Linked DNA regions of Drosophila melanogaster. The gene in region 1 interacts genetically with each later gene. Each region holds a gene or a part of one and is shown on either strand. Other genes may lie near its edges.

What was found. A genetic interaction does not mean that the proteins touch.
Region 2: of brat (region 1) and Men, changing one suppresses a phenotype caused by changing the other (phenotypic suppression), as found in Drosophila melanogaster (one study listed by BioGRID).
Region 3: of brat (region 1) and ct, changing one suppresses a phenotype caused by changing the other (phenotypic suppression), as found in Drosophila melanogaster (one study listed by BioGRID).

What each region holds. Positions count from the first base shown.
Region 1 is NT_033779.5:19,132,154-19,139,738, forward strand, and holds the start of brat (brain tumor), read left to right. Parts: upstream 1-1,668; 5' UTR 1,669-2,123; intron 2,124-2,776; coding exon of another isoform or gene 2,777-2,827; exon of another isoform or gene 2,828-3,080; intron 3,081-7,585. Other genes in the region: DCTN6-p27 (dynactin 6, p27 subunit), read left to right, coding at 247-263, 331-871; Polr1D (RNA polymerase I and III subunit D), read right to left, coding at 899-1,198, 1,621-1,668, 2,777-2,827. UniProt on the Drosophila melanogaster protein: A NHL-domain family protein that functions as a translational repressor to inhibit cell proliferation.
Region 2 is NT_033777.3:12,717,859-12,725,487, forward strand, and holds the start of Men (malic enzyme), read right to left. Parts: upstream 4,585-7,629; 5' UTR 4,340-4,584; coding exon 4,278-4,339; intron 2,927-4,277; exon of another isoform or gene 2,809-2,926; coding exon of another isoform or gene 2,759-2,808; intron 2,170-2,758; coding exon 1,545-2,169; intron 1-1,544.
Region 3 is NC_004354.4:7,606,024-7,613,731, forward strand, and holds the start of ct (cut), read left to right. Parts: upstream 1-3,124; 5' UTR 3,125-3,392; coding exon 3,393-3,515; intron 3,516-7,708. UniProt on the Drosophila melanogaster protein: Regulator of cell fate decisions in multiple lineages. Specifically, functions as a determination factor that specifies sensory organ identity in precursor cells. Probably also involved in cell type specification of Malpighian tubules.

The DNA of each region.
Region 1 (7,585 bases):
TATTGTTTATAAATGAGTATTCAACATTATTTTGGTTTTTGAGCAATAAAGTTCGACGTCATTATTGTTATATCTGGTTTTTTTATGCAAAGGTCTTTAATCATTATTTTTACCTTTCCGATATTTTAAAGTAACTAAATCTGGCTATAATATATCGCCTCATTTGCAAGCCCTCATTTATTATCGATAAATATAAATTCCTTCTCACCTTCGTGAGAAAACGTAAACAATTTAAGAAAACAGAAAATGCCCTCGGAAAACAGGTGATTGCAGCATAAGTACTTGCAAAACTAATTTACGAAATGCAGCTATACTATTGCCACTCAACAGAATCAAAATCCTACCCAAGGCGGTGGTCTGCGAGGAGAGCAGCCTGCGCGGTGACATCACCTTCTCGTCGGGCTGTGTGGTTCATCCGAGTGCCACCGTTATCGCCGACGCAGGTCCCATAATAATTGGGGAGAATTGCATCATAGAGGAATATGCCACCGTAGCTCACCGCTTGGAGCCGGGCGCCGTTTGGGATGTCAACAATATCCTGAGCATTGGCACTCACAATGTCTTTGAAGTCGGCTGCCAAGTGGAAGCGGCCAAGATTGGCGATAAGAACGTCTTCGAGAGCAAGTGCTATGTGGGCCCCGGTGTCACTGTTTCCAGCGGTTGTGTGGTGGGAGCTGGAATAAAGATCCATGGTAGTCAACGCCTGCCCGAAAACACGATTGTTTATGGAGAGCAGGGCCTGCAGCGCGAGGCCATCGACAAGCAGGGATCGCAGACCCTGCAGATCGACTTCCTGCGCAAGGTCCTGCCAAACTATCATCATCTACGCAAGCCCAACTACGATCCCAAGAAGGCGCGCAGCGTGGTTTAGTTTTAAGTATTCTTTATACATATATATCTAATTTTCCACTTTCATTGCATTAAACTCGGCCATCTCCTTTTCGAACGTAACGATTGTATGATCACACAGACCCTCCAGATCCTCCAGTCCCCGTTTAAGTATATCTATGGCTCTGTCTCGACGGGATTGAATGCGGAAGTGCAGCTTCTGCTCCGTGGGATGCGGAATCGTGTAGCCACAGAAATCCACCTCCGGGTAGCGGGCTATGATCGTTTTCAGCGCATTTCCCAGCGTGTGGCCCTCGTTGGTGAACACAAAAGTACGAGATCCTTCGCCGTTTTTCTCATCACCAGCCAGCTGGGGAAAGTATTTAAGAATTAATTACTCACATTGCATATTTAATGCATTGTCTACCTCTGCCAATGCTCCCATTTTCAGTTTGTTCAAATACTCGTTCGTTTGTTTACAAAAAACGTGCAGGGCACATGCCTCGGCAATCGATGTTAGAGTCATCGAAACATATCGATTTAAGTAGCTAAGGACGGCTTATTCCAATTGGAATGCAATGTAGCTAAAAACTAGAGATGCCTATCCCATTTTGAATTTAAGTAAAACTTAGCCATATCTTCCCGAAAAAACTGTTAAATTTAAGTTGTGTATGTATAAAAGAGTATGTCTTCTGAAACATTCCTACTGTTTGCTTGTGCCAAGTGTCATACCAACATTGACTTTAATTCTTGAAAATCAAATGAGTTACTTCTAAGTAAATGCATAAATACCGTGGTAACGTCATCGATGTATCGATAGCGCGCCGATGTCTCCACCAGCTCCAGTTCTTGACGCGTTCTGACACGGACGCGGTTTTCAGACAGAGCATTGAATTGTGTGTGTTGCTTCTTAATTCGCTTTGTTCTGTGGCCAATTTTATTGGGCCAACTGCGAAATCAGTTTTGTGCGGTGTCGGCCAAAAAAAAGAAGAAAAAGTGTCGCAAACAGCCGCATTAGCATAATTGCAAGCCGCCTTCTGCATACGTGTGTGAGTGTTGGTTTGTTTGAAAGCATCAGCAGAAAAGGCGGCAAGGAAAGAAGCAGAGAGGCGAAGCGGAGCGAAGAAAACAAAAACAAAAAAACTGCAACGGCAAACATAATTATTTGCGCAATGCATTCAACGTGAAGTTGCTCCAAAAACACCGACACTCGGGAAAAACGCATACAACGACGAATCGGCAATTCATTTTACATGCTTTTTCGCCGTTTCCATCAGGAATTGACTGCAATACAGGTTTGTTTAATGCCCACCATGTGCTTATTAATAACATCGCATACATAAATAAGCGGTATTGAAAAGCTCGAGTTGTCATTTCAATTTTGTTGACGGCCACGCCCCCCATCTGGTTCCGAAAATTATGCAAATTCATGCGCCCTTTTATTTTTGTGCACGCACACAGCTGCAAACAGGCAGCTGCCTCTGCCGCCGTGCCGTCGACGCTGTTGCCCGCGAAGGCGGAAGTGATGGCTAAAAAATACCAGTTCAGAGGCTCAACTAAAGCTTTATCTTGTTCGTTACTGTGCCTCCTGTTCTGCTTTTCGTTAGTTATTGCCAATAATGTAGACTTTTATTTCCAAATTGTTAAATTTCCTAATTGGCACTTTGCATTCACGTTCGCAGTCTGCATCTTCAATTACCAATTACGAGAATAACAGTATTCGGTTTCTTAACATGTACTTTACGATTTATATGCATATAACCAAAAGGTTGAATACAATCAAATATGATCTTACGTAGTTTCCAGTAAAATTTTAAAAATATTTTTTATTTAATTTCGTTAATATGTATGGTTTTTTAATCCAATAAGATTTTTATAAATATTTTTCTCCCTAGGGTATGCAACACTTTATTGCAAAGATACCCAATAGCTCTTAGCCAATACTCACTGTATTTTGTTTCCACTGGTTGCTATGCTCTTCTCCCCTGCCCCTTGCCATTCCTCTCTCCGCTTCCTTCTCGGCATCCTGCTAACTCCTTTGCACTCATTTGTTCGGTGGTAGCTGACACACACACATGTACACACATCTGTTGTGCTTTGGTGGTGACTAATGCGGCAGCATGTTCCGTTATCTCATGCGTTCCCCCTCCTCGCGCCCACGCGCCGCAGCGCTTGTGTTGTAATAATCACTTTTCGTGTATGTATGGCAGTGCGCGCGAGTCTGTCTCACGTTTCGTTTGGCGCCATGCGTTCCCCCCAATTTGCAGTTGTTGCAATTTAGTCTAGGCTGCGTTCCTCTTCCATTTCGTTTCCCCCATTATGCTGGGCGCCCTTTTGCCTTGTTGTTTTTGTTTTTACATGGCCTGCAGTTTAAGTATGTATATATGTATGTATTGAGAGCCGGCGTTTTTGTGGCTCGTGTGTGAGTGAGAGCGAGGCAGCTGCTCTCTCCTGGCCGAAAAAAGTGGCTGCTCTCTCTCCTGGGCTAACTCTATTCTTGCTTTTATGGGTTTCTTTTGAGTTTGCAATTATTTTGGCTTTGTAGTGGTTACAACAAAGGAACTGCATATAACCGTCACGATCGTGGCAAAAAGGGAGAATACGAAAAAGAGAAGTGCGAAATGGTTCTGGGAATACGATCCAGAGGGCCCATGTAAATATGTATGTAAACACAACCTAATATATACATTCATACATACATATGTACATAGCAACAGCGATCTATGGCCTGTACATAGAGAAAATAACTTCCCTAGCATTTACTCGCGAAGCTGATTCGTAAACAATTCACCACCTCGTGTGTAATATATCTTTTCAACGTATAATAAACGAAAACTAGTAGAAAGTAATAAACGCATAGAAAAAGGATGCAGTACGGTAGACCATTTTAAAATTATATTAATTCAAAATACAAAAGTATTTTTTGTGTATAGCTGCGCACGTGAAAATAAATTATAAAAGAGGGGGAGCCCGAAATTTTAAGTCCTCCCAAGGGTGGTGTATATTCCACCTTGTGCCATGAATATTGCAAATAATCCACTTGAGGTACAAAATACCTGTCCACGATGTAGACACAGTGTGCTGACTTGACAAGGACAGGTTATAAATTGAATTTTAAAACAAAAATTCTATGTATAATGGTACTAAGGTTTTTACCGATTCTATTGGTAAATTAATAAATGCTTAACGAGTTTTTGAAAATAATTCTGTCAGTAAACATAGCAATGGTGTGTTCTTTCGATCATTTATCTATATTTATCAATGGTGCATGCAATATTTTTGTTGGGCCCACTGTGCCAGAAAGTTCCAAGGATGCTGCAGACATCGAAAGCCAAACGAAACGAAATAAAATAAAATACACAGACAGTTTTGGAGCGAAAGGAAGTGGAAGGAGTAGCTGAGGTGAAGAAGGGGCTAAAGGGGAGCCCCTTTAGCTCGAATGCAGACAAAAAAGGTGAAGTGGCAATGGCACAAGACGAAGACGAAGAGCACGAGAACAAGGAACAGACGGGAACACGGACACGACGACGTGATATTCCAACATCCTGTGCAGCGAGTCACGAAGGAGGTGGGGAGCGCCATAAAGCCGGAGAGCACAGCAAAGCAGGGGGCGGAGGAGAGCGAAAACCTGTCATCTGCTGCATTCGATGCGGGCCACGAATAGGGGGTGGGGGGAATCGAGGAGAAGAGAAGGAGACAGAGACGCAGAAGGATGAAGCTGCAAGCATTTTTAGAATTCCCAAAATCAACATAAAAACCAAGTAAAGTAACTACACAACAGGACAAATTTTTAAGCCGAAAAGTGCAATATTTGATTAATAGGTTCGAGTTTAGTACCATTACTGTTAATCAGTGCATTAATAAATTTATTTGATAATTTGTGATGTAATAAATTTTACAACAATGCCAATACTAAATAACACACAATCACTTGGTTGCACATTTAAGATCTATAGGAACAAGTGATACTTACAGCCACATCATTTTTTCCTCTGTAAGAAGAGCCAGTCAAAAGGAAGCTGCGCTGAGTCCCCTCCTCTCTCCCTCCTTCTTCTGTGTGCTTCTCTATGTGTGCGTGATCGCTGCCCAGACGCAGCAGCAGCGACGCCGGCAGAGAGACATAAAACAAACAAAAACCTCACATGCATTTTTCTCTTGTTTCGCCTTTGTTCGGGTTTCCTTGTTTTTGGTCTTCGTTGTGTCGGGTATCGAAATTTAGCCATATTTTAGGAGGATATAATAACAAACCGTAGATCATTTAGTTGTCATATGTATGTACATATACATGATACATGTATGTACATATGTATTGTATATTCCACATATTGTGTGAAAAATAGTTCTAATTATTGATTATTAAAGCTACATGGATTATAAGCCTAAAGTCTATGATGTTGGCTTAGAATAGCGAATCCTTCAACTAAGTTACCTAAATCTCGACATCCGCTGCTTCCGGGAACATTTAAGCCAGCAAAATTCGAAAAGAGAGTGGCTCTTGATTTCCGGCCTTTAGTTTCAGGTGAATTGAAAGGGAAATGGCGCTGTAAGCCACCCAGACATCCTTGTGGTTTTCGCAATTGAAATGCATGTTTTATTCGTGCATTATTTGAGCATTTTTTTTTTCACAATACGCTTGGAGGGATTTGCATAATACGCCGTAGGGCAGCCGTAAAATGTGTCCGATGCCGTCTGTTGCCGTTGCCATCGCCCATATTGCGGATGGGGAGTTCAAGTTGATGTTGTTGATGTTGTTTCGGTGGTGGTGGTTGCTGCTCGGTTCCTCAAAGGACTCGCACCGCATCCCCCGTGTGTGTGTGTGTGTGTGTGTGGATGTCCTGTGCCTAGTTTCGTTTCATTTTCGTTTCACTTTTTCCCTTTTCGCCCTGCTGCTTCCCGCTTTTATTGTCGAACTTTACAGCTGCCGCTTTCATTTCATTTTACTTTATTTCACTTTTTTCATTCTGTCCAACTTGCATTTTTCCCCCGGTTGTGGCTTATTTTTTTGGCAGGGTTGGTTTCCACTTACATACATAAATACGTATATGAATGTATGTAGAACTTGCGACGGCGTGTCGTATGCTCCTGACTTTGATCCTTTTCCGGGTGGGTGGGACCTCCGTCGTCTGGCCACCCACCCCTCGGCCGTAACATTAGGGAAAGTGTCTTGCAAATAAATAAATAGTCATGTCAGCCATATTATTAATGCCCGGGGAGAAAGGTTGGGTTGGAAGGCGGCTCAAGGTCTGCGCTCGCTTGGTCGGGCGGATGGGTGGGGTGGGTGCTAATCAACCCTCCTGGGCCGACGGCGAAGAAAAGGGGAACGCATCTTACCCCGAAATACAGGAACTCCCAATACAACAGTGGTAACTAGGAGTAGAGGAGCACATAGTTAATACCAAATACATGCTAAGTGTGACATTGGTTCAAAGTTTGGAAGTTAAACATATTCGATTTGAATAACATTCAATAGTTAGACTTGAATTTGAAATATAATGATTAATATTAATATTAAGTATATTCCAAATAATTGGTAATTATTCGTTGGGCAGCAAATGCGTTTGAATGGATTTTCAATCTTTTGAGTCGCAAGTCGAATGAATCCAATATCAAGGGCTAATCACCTTTGAAAATCAATCCAAAGCGGCGGGCGGGCGCTCACTGTACGCAATATATATGCGACTACGCATTGCTGTCTGTTCGCGTTGGGGTCAACAAACTTTTGGGCCAGCCCCCAGCATCAGTGCGTGTGTGTGTGTGTGTCTGGGTGCCTGGTTGTGTGCGTGCGGGCGTTCGGGTTCGTGTGTTGGTGAGTGCGAAAAGTGAACGATTTTCCAGCAGAGCTCAAGCCAAAAACCCCTGCTGAAATCGGCGGACACCAGCACGTTCTACGCATTTTTGTGCATTGACCCCAGACAGACGGAAGACCGCCCCAGCCAAAGCAGCACCCCCATGCCACATCAAACCAAACCAAACCAACCCAACTACCCTCCCCCATTCCCTAAAGAGCACAAGCACTCACATACACACACGCTTTGGTCCCCCTCACACGCACATCTGTTTGTTTGCATAGTACAATGGCAACCCTCGCTGATTTGATTTTCATATGCTGAATGGAATTTGAGGGTGGAATGGATGCGGCGCATTCAACGCCCTGCCGTCGTTGGAGAACACCTTTATCGGGGGGGGTTTTATGAATTTTGTTGTATTTATTATTTTTTACGATTCTATATATTAAAATGTGCAAACTGCTGTACACAGTAAGGAAATATTACAGGGAGCTAAGCCAAGCGCAAGTTTTAAAGTATATTTAAATTAATTTGAGATTGAGATTAATATAAAGACAGTTGACTTATTTAATTTTTAACATTTTCACTTGGTATATTAGGGTTTTACACCCATTTCTCGCATAATAAAACATACAAGTAACAAGTGAAGGCATTGCCAAATTGGAGTCCCCAATTATTTCCCCTTTTTCCTGATTACGCTGCTGGATCTTCGATTGCAAGTTTATGGCGGCATAAAAATCAAGAAGCACCTTTAATTGCACTCTGTGTAGAGAGCACTACCGCTCGCGAGCTTTTGTTTTAGTGTTATTTTACCTTTGGGGGTATGGACATAAAATGATTTTATTGCCTCCGCCCCCGCGAGGTTATTTTGGGTGTGGTTCCTCTGTACAGATTGATGGGTTTTAGTTGAATGATTGGAGAGAACGACCGGTTGGTTACTCAGTTTCCGTAGCCGTTCTGTCTTTGTTTTC
Region 2 (7,629 bases), on another chromosome or scaffold:
GCGGTTCGAAACAGAGTTAAATTTATTGCTGAATGTAGGTCAGTTTTCGCGGACTGGCTTTAATTTTGTTTCTTATTTTTTTCATTGGAGATAGGCACTCGAAAACTTTCCATGGGTAAATCAAAACAAAGCTCAGCTGTTCGGGGAAGGAGGTTGAGATAAACAAGAGTCACTTGTTGGCAGCGTGTAAGAAGTACATAATAACAATCTGTAGTAAACAAGTGCCAGCCCCTACTCGATAAGGAAACCCAAGATAATTTCTCGCTAAATTGTTAAATTATTATTTTTAAGTCTTTTCGTCCGATTGTGCCGTGACGTAAGCGGGAAAAAAATCCACTTGGTTGTCATGGGGAAACACCATTCTGGATGGCCCTCCATTATTCTCAGTGGAGCTTCTGTTTACAATGCCAAATGGTTGGCCCCTTTTGGTCAGTTTTTTTTTTTAGTAGCTACACGGGGGAAAATAATGTCTTTACTAGAAATTACGTAATTTCTTTAGATTCCTAGCATTTTAAATTGTAATATCCGTTCTAACCATTACCACCTTTACATTAAAACTCTGTTTTTTCAGTGCAACTGTTTTAAATAAACAAACGCAAAGCCCATGCGCGCTCTCTCTTCTCTCTTTCAAAAATGCTCTCTAATTTTATATTTTGTGAAACAATTCGTGCATTAGCTCATTCATGTCTGCGTGGGAAAAAAGCGTAGAAGCCAATGCAAGCTGAAAAACTGCACAAGCATTGAACTTGAAAATGCAATCTGAGATAAATTTGTAAACGAAATCTGCGTGACCGATTCGTGTCAACTATTTCATACCGTACAATTTCGGCATGTGCCACAGACAGCTAATTGCCTCAATTATAAAAGTTGGTCTATCGATTTTCTTCGGCTAAGGCACCAGAAAAAAAATGAAAAAAAGCAACAAAAAAAACTGACAAAAACAATGAGCTTTGGTCTTCCAGAGTGGCGCGTGTGCCATTTGCCATCCCTTTCACTCGCTATGTCATCTAAAGGTCACCCACACCACTTGCCGAAAAATGAAGCCACTGCCAAAAAGTATCTTTTTTTCGCTCTGAACTCAGCAGCTGACGTTTCCGCCTAATAGTTATTTATGTATTTATGATTTGGAATTTTTTTATTCTCGTGCTTGTGGTAAAAATAGCAGGTGGCCTAGAATAAATTCACACTTTTTCAAGAAGAAATTCCAACATTGGAACTCACTTCTAGCGAAATTTCACATAATTAACGATTATTAGTAAATATCTTTCAGATACATATGGATGGCTAAGGTAAGTTCTAAGGTAAGGCTTAAGTTCTTCAAATTCTAGACCAATTAAACTTCTTCTAATAGTCTATAATTATGACTCTACCTCTAAATATTTACCCAAACACGGTTCACTAACACAATTCGCCGATATGGGGAGCGGAAAAAAAAACCGAATGCGAACCCACCCTTAAAAACCTTTGCCTGGTATTTTTCCACTAAGTTCACGGAACTGGGCAACTTAAAAGCGTATTCGCATATTCCTACTTGTGGAACTCACCTTTGAGTAGCGCTTGTCCAAGAGTCGGGTGAATCCGGAGAGGCTGCCGACCACCTCATTGTCACCAGTGCCCCAAAGGCCCAGGCGATCGCGCTGCGCGTATTTATCTAGTTTCGAATCGGGTTTGCTCATCTTGTCTTCCAAATTTGTTTCGCTAGTGGAGCTGTATGAACGTAGTTGCTGTTGTTGTTGCTGTTGCTGGTGGTGAAGGGCGTGCAAACTGCTCTGCAGCTGATTCCAGTGGTGTCGCGAGGATAACGATAACGGCAGACCCTTGGGCAGTTCCAAATCGGTGGCTAAGGCTATATTACCCGGATTCGAATCTCTGTCCCTATGCGTTTCCGTATCCGTATGCGGCGATGTGTCCACTTCGGCGGCACTTTGCGTTGTGATTCGTGTCGTTAGTTTTGCGAAATTGGAAAGTTCGTATTCGAGTGTGGTTGTCGTTGTGGTCGTATGATTTTTACACACACGACTACTACAACAGCTCTGACTCTCTCTCTCATGGCTATTGTTGTTGTTGCTGTTGCTGTTTCTCTTCGTGTAACAGCCGAGCTCGCGCTCTTTGCCGCGACTATATGAGGAAGGACTCTGCGAATTGTTGGCGGTGGGATAAACCGGCGTGCTGAGGGAGAGAGAGAGAGCAGACAATATGTGAATGAATGTCAATGCGGGAGTGACAATAACAACCAATTCGTCACCAACATTCGGATACTCTTTCTGAAAGAACCGATGTTAACATTTTTAATTGAATTTTAATCGTACACACTCCACGTTCCCACACTAACAATTGTTAATAATATATATATTACATTTTAATAGTATATATATCTTATTTGAATAGTATATTATATAACAGTATATAATAATATATGAATTTCACCATAAAAAGCTTTTTGTAATAGCCAAAAAGTCGTAGAGCAATAAAATGGTATTTAGGGTTAAAAGAGGCCCTTAAAGGGTGGGTACTCTTCGTTTCAGATTCCTTATCAAGGTTTTCAGAACCTTTGAAATGCGCTGATATGTTTGAACGTATGTGCATGGTCATATGATGAGGCGATGCATCGCAGACACGCCTTCCAGATGGAAACCGATAAGTGGTGCCAAAGTGACACTGATTATTGCCAATTCAGAAACACACCCTCTTGATCTGTGGTCCAATCGTATGACACCACATTATACTTGTTATTCTGAAATTCTTGCATTCGACTCACGGTCCAAAAGTTTTTCTGATACCAGAACAGCGTCGTAGGATCGAGTACATGGCGGTGCTCTTAAAAGTCTTCTATATTATATACTTATTAGTATATTGATTTGCCGACAATTATCTCACTGAGTATTTGACTTTTGTCTGCGTTGCTGCAGCTTTCGTGCTGAACTGAACCGCAGTATTCGATTTGTTTTGCTACCACCATATGTATACACTTTGCGATTTTGTTTTGTTTCCGCGCTCTTTGGCTCTTTCTCTCCGATTAGTTTCAGTTGTGTGGGGTATATCAGCTGACTGATAAGGGCGGTGCAAACACTATCTGCACATATAAACGCCATTAAACAACGATTATTACCATCAAATCATTTGTCTGGGACCTGGAAAACATTGCGATGCGGCGTGAATAGCATGCGAAAAGTTTCCGTGAGAACAGCAGCGGTCGAAATAATAGTATTCAAATTAGACTATAGAGTATTGCAGTTAGCAATTTCTTATCTACTATTATTTATAATCAGTAGCTTTGATTTTAATGTAAACTTAAGTACAACGTGCGTGCATTACTTGAATTAAATAAACCGAACCTTTTCTATTAGAGATTATTAGACTCGATGGCGTTAAATATAAACCAATAATACCTCCTGAACTTGTGGCATCTGACTAAGTATAAATTATTTAAAGAGACGCCTCAAGGTAGAAGCCCCAAACCCCAACCTTAACCTTCAGTGTCCCGAATCGCTTCAGTTCCCGCCCCACTTTGCACTTGACTCACTCATACGACCGGTGGGCCCGTTCCGCTTTTGCTCGGATGTCTGTTTGATATATTCAATTATTACACAAAAATTGAAAGTAAAACACGGCAGGCGAATAAATTGGAATATATCACACATGTTTGTGTGTGTGCCCGAGCAACCTTCATAAATATTAACAATTTACTTCAGCTTTGCCAACGAATTACATTTTCCAAGTACCTTCGTGAGCAAAACACACCTGTCGCTCTAACTTTTTTTTTTCTTTTTACTTCGAAAATCGTTAATTAAGAAGGTGGTGCTCTAATTTTTTATCGATGGCGTGTGTCAGAAGTTATTCTTTTTTATCGCAACGCCGACGAGTCGCCTGTAAATCGTTGATAAAACACTAGTAAAACGAATCATTGACCACTAATGACACCTCGAGAAACAAATTATTGGAGGGGCGGGGCTGAGGGCGGTGGCTTGGCTTGCATTTGCACAAGAAAAAACTTGTAGTTGCAGGAAAGGATCTACTTAAATATATTAAGTATCGAAACAAAAAATGTTAAGAATTTGTAATGGTTTTTTATAAATAACTTTTTTATGTAAAATATAATTTCCTAATCTTTCAGTTATTAGTTTTTAGTAACAATAAAAATAAACAAATTAATTACAAACATGTTTGCGCATTAGTAAACACAAACTCTTTGGCCAACTCTCGCATTTTCGAAATCCTCTTTTGCCAATCGCTTGAGTTCAGCTTCAGTTTGTTCACTTTTCCATTTCATTTCTTACCCATTTTCATCGAAATTTGTTATGACATTGCGATCGGCGCAAATGGAACTGGAATTACCCATTTTGGGTTCTAAATTTCAGTTAAATTAGCTCCAGTTAAATAGTTATAGTTAATTATTTGGTAAACGCAAAACTTGTGAACTTTTCTAACGCGAAAATTAACTCAGTTCGCTTGACCACGCGATGTTTCACCGGAATTATTAAAAACAGTTATTAACAAAAATTAAAAAAAGTGTATTTTGAGCTATTGCGCTTGACTTAGCAACTCCGAACCGCCTGAAACTGAATCAAAAACTGAACTCGCGCTGAAATCGCGGCTCTGCGAACACCGGAGGCAACTTGCTAGCAGCGGGCGGCCCAAAGGAGAAGGAGAAGGAGAGTGTCCGGTGCTGCCCTCCCGCTCGCACCCGCACGCAGGCAGCACGCGACATTTGCTCCACTGAGTCACTTTGGTAGGCCCAGACGGCTACAGTGGCCCCTCGCTAAAAAGGATGAAATCTAAAATGCATTTTTAATAGGTTTTTAGTTTATTTCTTATATAAAAATCAATAACTTTAAACACTATTTAACGTTGATATTAGGTAATCTGCTGTTTTATTTAACTATAATTTGTAAATTTTTATGCTTTACAAAAGGACTATACAAAAATGGGTTTGTTTGTATTCTCTTTTTAATTTTAATCTAGCAAGACTTTCATTTCGGGGTTTCACCGTATTTGATTAATCGTTGCAGCCTTAGAGAAGCTTTGGCGCTGAGTTGTACTTCACTTGGAGTCACACAAAACCTGAGCGGTTGGTTAATCGCAGTGACCTCTGGGCGGCACACACAAATGCATGAAGCAATTTGTTGCTGGCCAATTAAAAAATAATAATTTCAGCTTTCAAAGAAGGCAACTCGATTGCTGACCATCGCGTCCCAGTCGGCTGCACTTGGCAAGTGGCGAAGAAAAATTTATAAATCCAATGAATTCCGGGTCATTTCAAATGCACTGAGTTGAAACGATGGGGAAGGGGACTCGGTAGTCGGTGTGGTGGATCCTTAGGCTTTTTTCGCCTTTTGACTCTGATTTTATCACCTAATGATTTTACCGCTGTTTCATTTGTCGCCTGGGTGGCACTCGAATTTTAATTAGATTTGCTTTATTGCACTGCTGTCTGTTGAAATCATAATATATATTGCACTAATGTTCAAAGATCTTGTTCAATTGTGCAAATATGACACACATTAATTACTGGGTTTGGTTTGCTATATCGAATTTATTGTTGAAGTGTCGGCTTGTGTTTACTGTCTAAAATTTGCGAAAGTGTCGTATGAAAAGTTGCAACACGATTTCAATTGCTGCCAGGGTCAATTGTAATTTCAGTTAAGTCAGTAAAAAAAAACCATACGGCGGAATCGTGGCTGCATTAATATTGGTATTATCGACATATACGAGAAAATTGTTGGATTATTGAAGTAAAGTGTGCATATAAAACTAACAAAGAATGTCGCTATACCATTATTAACTTATCTACATATGTATTTTAAAAACCACAGATAACATCGTAGTTTGTTAAAATTTCGATTCATTCTATCTAGTTCATACAATAGTGACCACGAAAGTATCTTAAGGAGGCCAACAATAACAATGATTATACAAGCGAAACTCCAAAAAATACTAAAAACCACTCCGAATGGAAATTTCCAGTTAGAAATTTTTATAATTTATATTTTTTTAAATTCGTTTAACAGAACCATAAAACCTAGCATTGCAAAACATTACTGATAAGTGATAGTTCGCTTAAAATATAATAGATGGCGCTATCGTTAAGCTCTAGATTTGGCCGTTAATTTTAGGCGCTACTGTTAATGTAATAAAAGCTTAAAAGCTTTGTTTGCGTTGGAGTGTTCATAAATAATAACAGATGGCGCCAGCTGCAGTTCTGAAAACGACCGTTATTTATCTATGATTAACGGTTTCTTTTGTATTATACAAATACAAATAATAATAATAATTGTAACAATAACACCTTTTGTTATGAATTACATTATTTCACCATAAATTGGTGGGTCAATTTAGGAATGCATGTTTGTAACCTGCGTTAGAAAATAAAATCAATGACCAATTGATAGTTTGCCATTTTATAATACAACACTCAAACCGCGCGATTGCTATTTTAGAGGTGTGTCAGCTGATTTTCCGAGTCCAGTGCTTTTCACATGCTCAGTTCAACCATGTTTTGCACATATTGCTTTTTCAACTTTTTGCCATTGCAATTTAATAACAACGTGATGAGGGGAGATCCAACGACGTGCAACAAGCAACAAGGCAATTGAGGGCCACTTTTATCATCAAATGATTTTACCCAGCTAAGCCAGCGCAATTTCCACGAAGTTGCATGTGACGGGGATAACACTGAGAAAATAACATAAAAAATCAACATGGGTATTAAGTTACCATATAGCAGATATAGTGGTTTTCTTTTTTAAGGATGTTTTCACATAGAAAGGCTTCCGTTTTTAGTAAGTTTTAAGAGAACCGAAGAACGTGCTGGAATAAATTTCCCAGTGTAAACAAACACAAGGATAGTAGTGAGTGTGTGTGTAGCGATTGCAAAAAAATGCAATTGGTGGATGGCAGTTGGGTGTGTGGGAGCGAAACGGTAATCTATCATAATTTTTATATCCTAAAATCCCATTTTCGTATTAGGGCAAAAATGTCTGAGAGCAAATATAATAAAATGGCCAACACATCGACTTGGCCACCCAGCCGGAAGGTACAAAGGACGCTGGAGAGGAGCTCGCACATTTATGCTCCTTGTCAAAGGATAACACACTCACACTTCTGCCAAGCCAACAGTATGAAATTCCAGCCATCCGCTTGATTTTTCTCTATTTTTTCGATGCGCTCCCCCCACATTTTCCATCTCATTCTTCGCCCGACCATCTGTCTCTTTCTATTTCCCTTTGCTGGCCGCGTTTTATTTTTCAATGGCTGGTCCGGCACAAAAACGTTCGAATGGCCAACAATTTTATGAGTCTCGCGTACACGATCTCACTTGGACTCGGTCTTGGTCTTGGTCTTGGACTTCGTTCCGTGCCGGAAATGTCAAACTGAACAAAAATAAGGGGGATTTGTGGAATAGAAGGTACTCTTACTCAAATCATTAAAGCCATGTACATTTTTATTTCCTTTGAATCCACAAAATATAGTTAAAACAATGGTGAATGAATGAATTTCCGTAGTTTGTAATTTGTTAAAAAATAAAAATAAAAGGGGATACAAATCAATAAGTAACGACCGGAAAAAAAGGCGCTTATCCATGGATTCAAGGCGTATTTACTTTAAAGCCTTAAATGTGCCCTCAAAATT
Region 3 (7,708 bases), on another chromosome or scaffold:
TTGGTTTTTATTATGCGAATTATCGAAAATCGAGAGCGCTTGTCTATATGAGTGCTTTTTGGGGCTTGAGCTAGTTTTAGTTTTTTTAAATTCTTATTTAATATGTTTGATTCAATTATTTTTAATAAAAAAACATTAATTGTCATTAAATTATAAAACTTGTTTGTTAAAAAAAAACCGGTTAAACCAAAAATCTATCCATTAATATAAGAACTATTCTTACTACCGGAAACTGAGTCAACATCTTGCATCCTCTTCAATGAAAATGAATTTTTATTAAATGTCCTGGAAATTTACAGTATGTTTAGCAAATCCAAACAATAATAGATATTTATAAAGCAAATCAAGAACATAAATAGCTTAAAAACATAAAACATAACATAGAACAGGTAAGGTAATCAACTTTTAATAAGTTGGATGTCTTGATGGAAGTTCGAAAGTATTTCGAAAACGAGTTCGAACCCCTTGCATTTTCGACTCAAAGACAGGAGAGCGAGTGAGTGAATATCTTGTGAGTATTTGGATTGAGTGGTTTCTTGAATTCCGCCGTTTTTAATCCAGTTGGAATTCTGCTGGTTGGCGGACACTTGTTTCTATATGGGCGATTTGTAGGGGTCTTCAATGCACTTATAATTTGTAATATTGCATAGTATGTATGTATATTTTAATATTTCTCGTCTTGTCATTTTTAAGAACGAATCTTTCTTTGTACTTCATTACTTTTACGAATTTCATCAGTCATTTTTTTTCATGATAATTATAACATGCAGTGATAATTTTTTTAAATTTGTAAGAACCATATATTGAATACTTGTATATTGCATTTTTGTATATAATGGCATAATGTATGTATTAACGAAATTATATAAAAATCCCTTATTGGTTTCCCCAATAATGTGTGGCTAAATTCCCTCACCTTTGTGGGTGGGTTGGCAGTTGGGGGTAAACTAGGAGCAATAAAATGAAATGAGTATTTTTTTCGGGGTGAGTACATTTTTCGACGCCGACGGCGGAACCGAGCATCGTTTTTTGTCTTCGTGTAGTTGGCGCTGCCCTTTCTCTCGGCTCTCCCGTTATTTTCGTTATTTTGCAAGCCGACGACGAAGTCCCCGAGCAGATCCAAGCCCCCAATATTCCCCGTACACCCCATTTACCAACAATTTTCCACCCAAATCCTAACCGCTTTTCAACCGATTTTCCTCTCAGACTGCAGCAACGCATCTGCGACTGCGACTTGGGTTCTCAGTCTCAGTTTAGGTGTAAGCCATAACCCCTTGGAAAATCCCAACCACATCGCCCCTCCCCGCCCAGCAGAAATCATGGGGTTTAGTAGAAAAATAGGGAGTGAGAATACCAAGGGGGTCGGGGGCGTCTGCATTGCACTTGGCGCTTCGATACAATTTGAACTTTTCTTTATGCGAAAATCCCGCAACGGGACTGCAAATTCCAGGGGTTTGCGGAAAAACACAAAATAACGGGAGGCTGAGAAGGGGCTTACTCTCCAATTTAATATTCCATGGATTTTTGAAGAGCCGAACAGAGACAGCCAGCCAAGGGACTTAAGTTAGGAATGCAATTTAAGGTGCATCATAAAGTGGCGGAAATTTGGAAAGGACAGATTGTTTCTAAATGTTACATTTACCTCTAAAAAAAAACATAAAAATTAAATTAAACAACAAAACATAGAATTGTTTGTTGCATTTAGCTTAATTTACACTTCGTATTTACTTTTTTATTTCCATCACTTTCTACTATTGTTTACTATGTTCGAACATTTGATGAATATAGCAGCTGCTTTTAATTCTAAGACTTATCTCGTGGAACTTTTAGTTCTTTAGTTCTTAACTTTAAAACTTATCAGTTTCAGAATAATACTTGAATTCCAGGTAAATCCCCCTAAAGCCAAAAAATATTACAACTTTCCGAAATATCCTCAATCTCAATCCCTCCGCCAGCGTCACAGTCGACGTTGCACTCAATCCTGCGCTCAATAAGCAACAACAACAAGCAGTAGTGGAGAGAGGCGAGCGCCTGGCTCTTTCGTTTCCAATAAGAAAAGCGATGTGCGAGCGGGAGGGCACTAGCCAAAGTGTCTGTGAATGAATGAATTTCAATACATGCAACTGACATGCGACGGCGCAGAAAAATGCTCAAAAATAAGAGTAAAAAAAAAAGCCGAGAAGGAAAGCGCAAAAAAAGTGAGAAAATCAAAAAGCTATTGAAAGAAATCAAAAGCAGTGCACGGGAATTGAGTGAGATTCTCTTGCGCGGAGCGTGAGAGAGCGAGCGAGAGAGTTGCGCTGCATGAGTGTGTTGTGTGTTTGTGGCGCCTCTGTCGCTGCCAACGCCGCTGTCGGCGCTCTCTGCGGCAGAGGGTTGTCGGCGCTTCGTTAACGTTCGATTTGTTCAGTCATCAACAGCATTCGTGACTGGCAACGTCGTTTCGTTCGTCCGTCGCCGAAAGAAATCGAGAATTTCAGAAGATTTTTGGATTCTACTGCCCCACAAGGCAGTGCAGCTTCTTCTTCTTAGCCGCGGCGCGGGTGTGTGTGCGTGTGTGCCCCTCTCTCTCACTGTGTGTGTACGTCGTGTGTGTGTGTGTGCAGAAGAATCCCCCCACCCACTTCATACAAAAAATTCATAAAAAAATAATTGCAAAAGAATGAATCTCGCTTGCCAAGAAGAAGAAACGTATTGATCATATTTATAAACAAAACAGCACACAGCCAAACAAATCAAAAAGGACTAAACGAACGTATAATATAACTGTTTATTATTTTTTTCAAGTGCATTTTTGTTCGCTAAAATATGTGCGCGTGTATGAGTGTCAAGTGTAAACAACAACAGCAACATCAAAAGCAACAACAGCGACAGCAAACATGTGCAAAATAAGCCACAGCCAAAAAGCAACAACATAATGATAATGGCTTGAAAAAATCACACACACAACAACAACAGGCAACAACCAAAACAACAACATCATACCCTCACCATTCAACAAACGACTACAACAAAATCCCCCACACAACAACAAGAAGAAACCCCCTTCCAAAAAAATCAAAAAAAATTCTTTTTCGGAACTAAAGTGAACAAAATATAAAACATAACATAACCATAATAATAATAATAATAACACACAGAAATTGGCTTATTTATGCATTTTTTTGAGCACGTAACAAGAAACATACTACTTAAGGTGTAAATGTGATGACTAAAAACGAAAACCGAATTAAATAACAACTAACTAACAAGTAAAATCGAAACGACAACAGAACAGAATAATGCCAGGCCTTATTAGCCCCAAATTGGTAGAATCCAAAAACTGAAAACCCCAAAAAAACCTAAGCAAAAACTGACTGAGAATTATTGAATTAACCCAAGAAAGCCCACGAATGCAGCCAACATTGCCACAAGCCGCTGGGACAGCCGATATGGATCTGACGGCTGTTCAATCAATCAACGATTGGTTTTTCAAAAAGGAGCAAATTTATTTATTGGCACAGTTTTGGCAACAGGTAAGAAAAGTTAGCAAAACGATGGAAAACGGTGCTTAAAAGCAAGAAGTTTCGTGTTTCAAGAATAATAATATGAATATAGTTCAATGAATTGGCCAAACAAGCTGAGATTACGGGTTCGTAAAATGTTCGGTGCAAAAGTGTTTTATCTTCTGTTCTCACTTTTATTCGCATTGACAAACAGTCTTACGTTTATATTACATGCAAGGTGTATCTTATTTTTGTCAACAAAAAGATGAAATTACACCTGTTATATGTAGCATAAAATTTGATACTTGCGTTTTCTAACTTTATATGAATGAAATGAATTCGATTCATACAGTATTGTGTATTCAAAGTGAAAAGTTTAGGGAGCGTAACGCGAAAAGCCCGAAAGCCTTTAAAACGTTATAAGCTAAAATTAGAACTTTCCATACATTGATTAGACTAAAAAGTCATATACAAATTTGCAATTATCATTGTAACTAAACAGTGAATAGTTCCCGAGTTCTGTGATATTCGTTGCATTTCACTGGAAACTCCCACAGCTGACAACAATAACCCTAGTGCGCCCAGCCGCCCACTTTAACCCCACACAGCCCCCATATTTTGGCCCCGCAAACTGCTTAACTTAACTTAAGTTAACTAATTGAGTTTGCGTGTCTATGGCAAATGTGTTTTTATTGTTGCTGGCCCGTTATTGTTGTCTAATTTCTTGTTGTAAATTTATTTATTTTTTCTGCTATTATTGATTTCTGAAAAAAAATTTGTTTGCACAAAACAAAAACAACAAATGCAAAGTGCAACAAGCAAGTAATAAGTGAACAGTTTATTGCTTGAATAACTTTTTTTTTTTTTGAAGCGTTTTTTTTTCTGTTTTCTACTACCAGTGAACCGAAAAAGATAAAGCCAGACAAGATCGGCCAGACGGAAGAGACAATTCAGATGGGGGTTTCGCTGTAAAAGGGGGCGTGGAAAATCGGGAGGCGGGGGCCAGACGATGCTGAGAATTTCGCTGGCCAAATGCCAGACTCCGAACAAATAAGGCGGCAAAATAACATTAGAGGCCAAAAAGGGGAAAAGAAAATCATCTGCCAGACCAGACATGGAAATATCAACTGCTGTATATATTTTTGAATATTTCTATATATAAAAATACTCTCTATATGGTTTGGCAAGTTAATTAGGTTGCGTCGACAGCCGGGCAAATTTTTTAATTGGAGTTTCTTCTTCGATTGATCGTGAAAAGCGAGAGACGCGCACAGTGAAAGACAGACATGGAAAAATTCCCGGAAAATCTAGACATTTGCCGTCGGTGAATGGCGTTTTTTCCCGCTCCACAAATATTTTTGTACAAGATATGGCGATGCAAACTGCAATCAATAAAACTTAAATAAGCAAAACCAAAAGCTATCCTATCGACTTTTTCCGGAGAACCACAACAAAGGCAAAAAGATGAGAAGCCGCAGAACTCGTTAGGATTACTTGAAGTCAGTGGTGTACACAGGATTTTATGAATGGGGCTTTGCTGATCTCAAATAGAACCGGTTTTTATTTAATTAAATGCATTTGCTTGTTATATTTAAATGTTAGATATGTACATAGTGATAGAGCATAGTGTTGGCGGCCTAAACGAAAACACAAAACCCCATCTAAAGGCGCCACTGTTTTGGGTTCTTTTTTCCTCTTTCCTAACGATCATTTAATGGCTTTCAAAAGCTTCAAGTCTTCTATAACTTTCAAGATCCCTCAACCAATGATCGATTGTGATCAATGAATCAATATTTGAAAGGTTTCGTCATGCCTTCGCATGCTGATCAACAAAACAAAATTAGAACTCGATCCATAAATACCATTTCTCTGCGGCAGAAAAAAAGGTTATTCAACATAACTAAATTTGCCAACCAAAAATAGAAGCTTATTAAATAAATTAAACAAACCGCAGACAGACGTCTACAGCTGTCCAAATGAGTTGATAAAACAATTTTTATAGTATTTCACTTATTTATTTATTTACATTTCAAGAACAGAGCGCGCGCGAAAAAATTGACACAAATCGAATTCGAAAAAGCAACAATAAAAATGTGCTTGATTAACACAAAGTTTTGTCATTAAATATATAGAACGGTGGCACCGAAAAAACGATCACAAAAAATTGAAAAAAAAAACAAGTGCAAGAACAAAAAGCAGAAGCCAAAGAAGAACCAAAAGTTAAAAAGAGCAAAATTAATTTCCGTAATGCAATCTATAAACTTGACCCATTAACATCGAACAGATTTTTTGTTTAGCTTCTACAATTACCGAAATCCGAAAAACCATAAACCGAAAACTAGATGAAAGATGAGGTTTTTGTCATTGATTTGTGCTGATTCAAACTAGAAAAAAAAAAGATGGAAATGGAAAGACAACAAAACCGAACTAATTGCCAAATGCATTTGCTGACTTAAAAAATATTAAAAAAAAAAAAATAGAAAAGTTGAATTGAAAAGATGAGAGTAAATCGAGTTTGGGTTCCGTTTTAATCGAATTGAAACCGGTTTATAGGGTAGTCACCACCACCATAGCACCATCACAGATGCAGATACGGATATAAAATACGAAATGCGGAATACCGGGGACGAGCATTGATAGTTTATAAAGTTTAATTTTCAAAGATGGCGTCCCGGCATTTGCATATGCCGAAAATGAGCAGCCAAGGGTTGTCCCTTAAGCCCTTGGAAGCACACGGATACCTTGTACACATATACGATATCATACCATGCTATACCAAACCATAGATACCATATTGCCAGATACAGTATACAGATAGAGATCAGATCGGTGGACTGAGCGGCGGCGTGTGTCGTATAATTTTTAGCGTTTTAAGTGCAATTTACTCGCTCTCTGGCAGAGAAGCCAGCTAATGAGTCACAGAAACCGAAACGTGGATGAATGGGGGGGGGGGGGTGTTTGAAAAAGGGGTTATACCAAGAATCACAGACCGAATTCAACCACCCACACAGCACACAGATGCATACATATGTATGTAGACACACACGCATGGTATATGAAAATATTTCAGTCAGTTCAATCGTTCGATCGCTGGAAAGATATGTTAATATAATTAAATTAATTTGTCAGCACGGAAATTAAAACAGAAGCGGCATCGGCAGCAGCAGCAGCAAAAACAGAAACCGAAATGTCCATCACATCCACATCGGTACACATACATAGTATCTATAACAAAATGCGACGAACGAATCGAAACGATACTATACTATACCATACTATACTATACTATACGAACCGAACGAAACGAAACGAGACGAATCGAAATGAAAATCGAACAATTAAAAGCTTGTGGTGGGTGGGTGGAGATGGCGATCTGAACCCGAGAACTCGAACTCGATCTGAACTACCACGCAACTAATAATGTGAAATAAAAAATCATTTGGAAATTATTATTAAAAATTGAGTTCATGAACTATGTGTGTCCGTCCCGTCCGTCTATGCCAACATATGTGTATCTGTATCTGTGTGTGCTCGATCAATTTTTATTATGATTATTTGCTATTTCCCTCTCTTTCCGGTTTATGGCATTAATTATGAATAGCCATTGAAGCTAATTGAAGCCGGTCGAATGGAGTGTCCTCATGTAACTTGGGAACTAACTAACCATCAAACGCACTTCAAATTTCCCATCTGATATGTTTAGGCCGTAATTAGCTGATTTTCAATCGAATAAAGCATCGAGCTATGCAATGACCTGAAGTAACTCAGCTTGCAGTCATCTTAATCAATTGAAATTTTACACAGCACTAAAGTGGGCTTTTCAAAGTATGTGGGTTGTGTGTTTGGGCATTTTTTAAAACCAATACGCCAATCTAAATCGCAAGGAGATCAGCTTGTGGTTATCAAACGAATAAATACCTATTAAACCACCCTGATACTTTATATACTCATAGTAAGCACTAAAATAAGTACATATGTACATATTAGTCGTCTTTCAGCTAACCTGATGTAACTCAGCTTGCTGCCATCAAATCAAACTGAAACTTCACACTATCATATAAGTGGGAAAATGGGAGGGGATCGGGGAATGGATCTCCAGCTAAATCGCCACACGGCAAACAGCGACACTAATTGAGCATAAATATCATAAATGCTAAATGCGCTTTGCGTGGTGTGCATCAATTGTCATTGCATCATTAATTCCGCATCTAGACGAACGAACC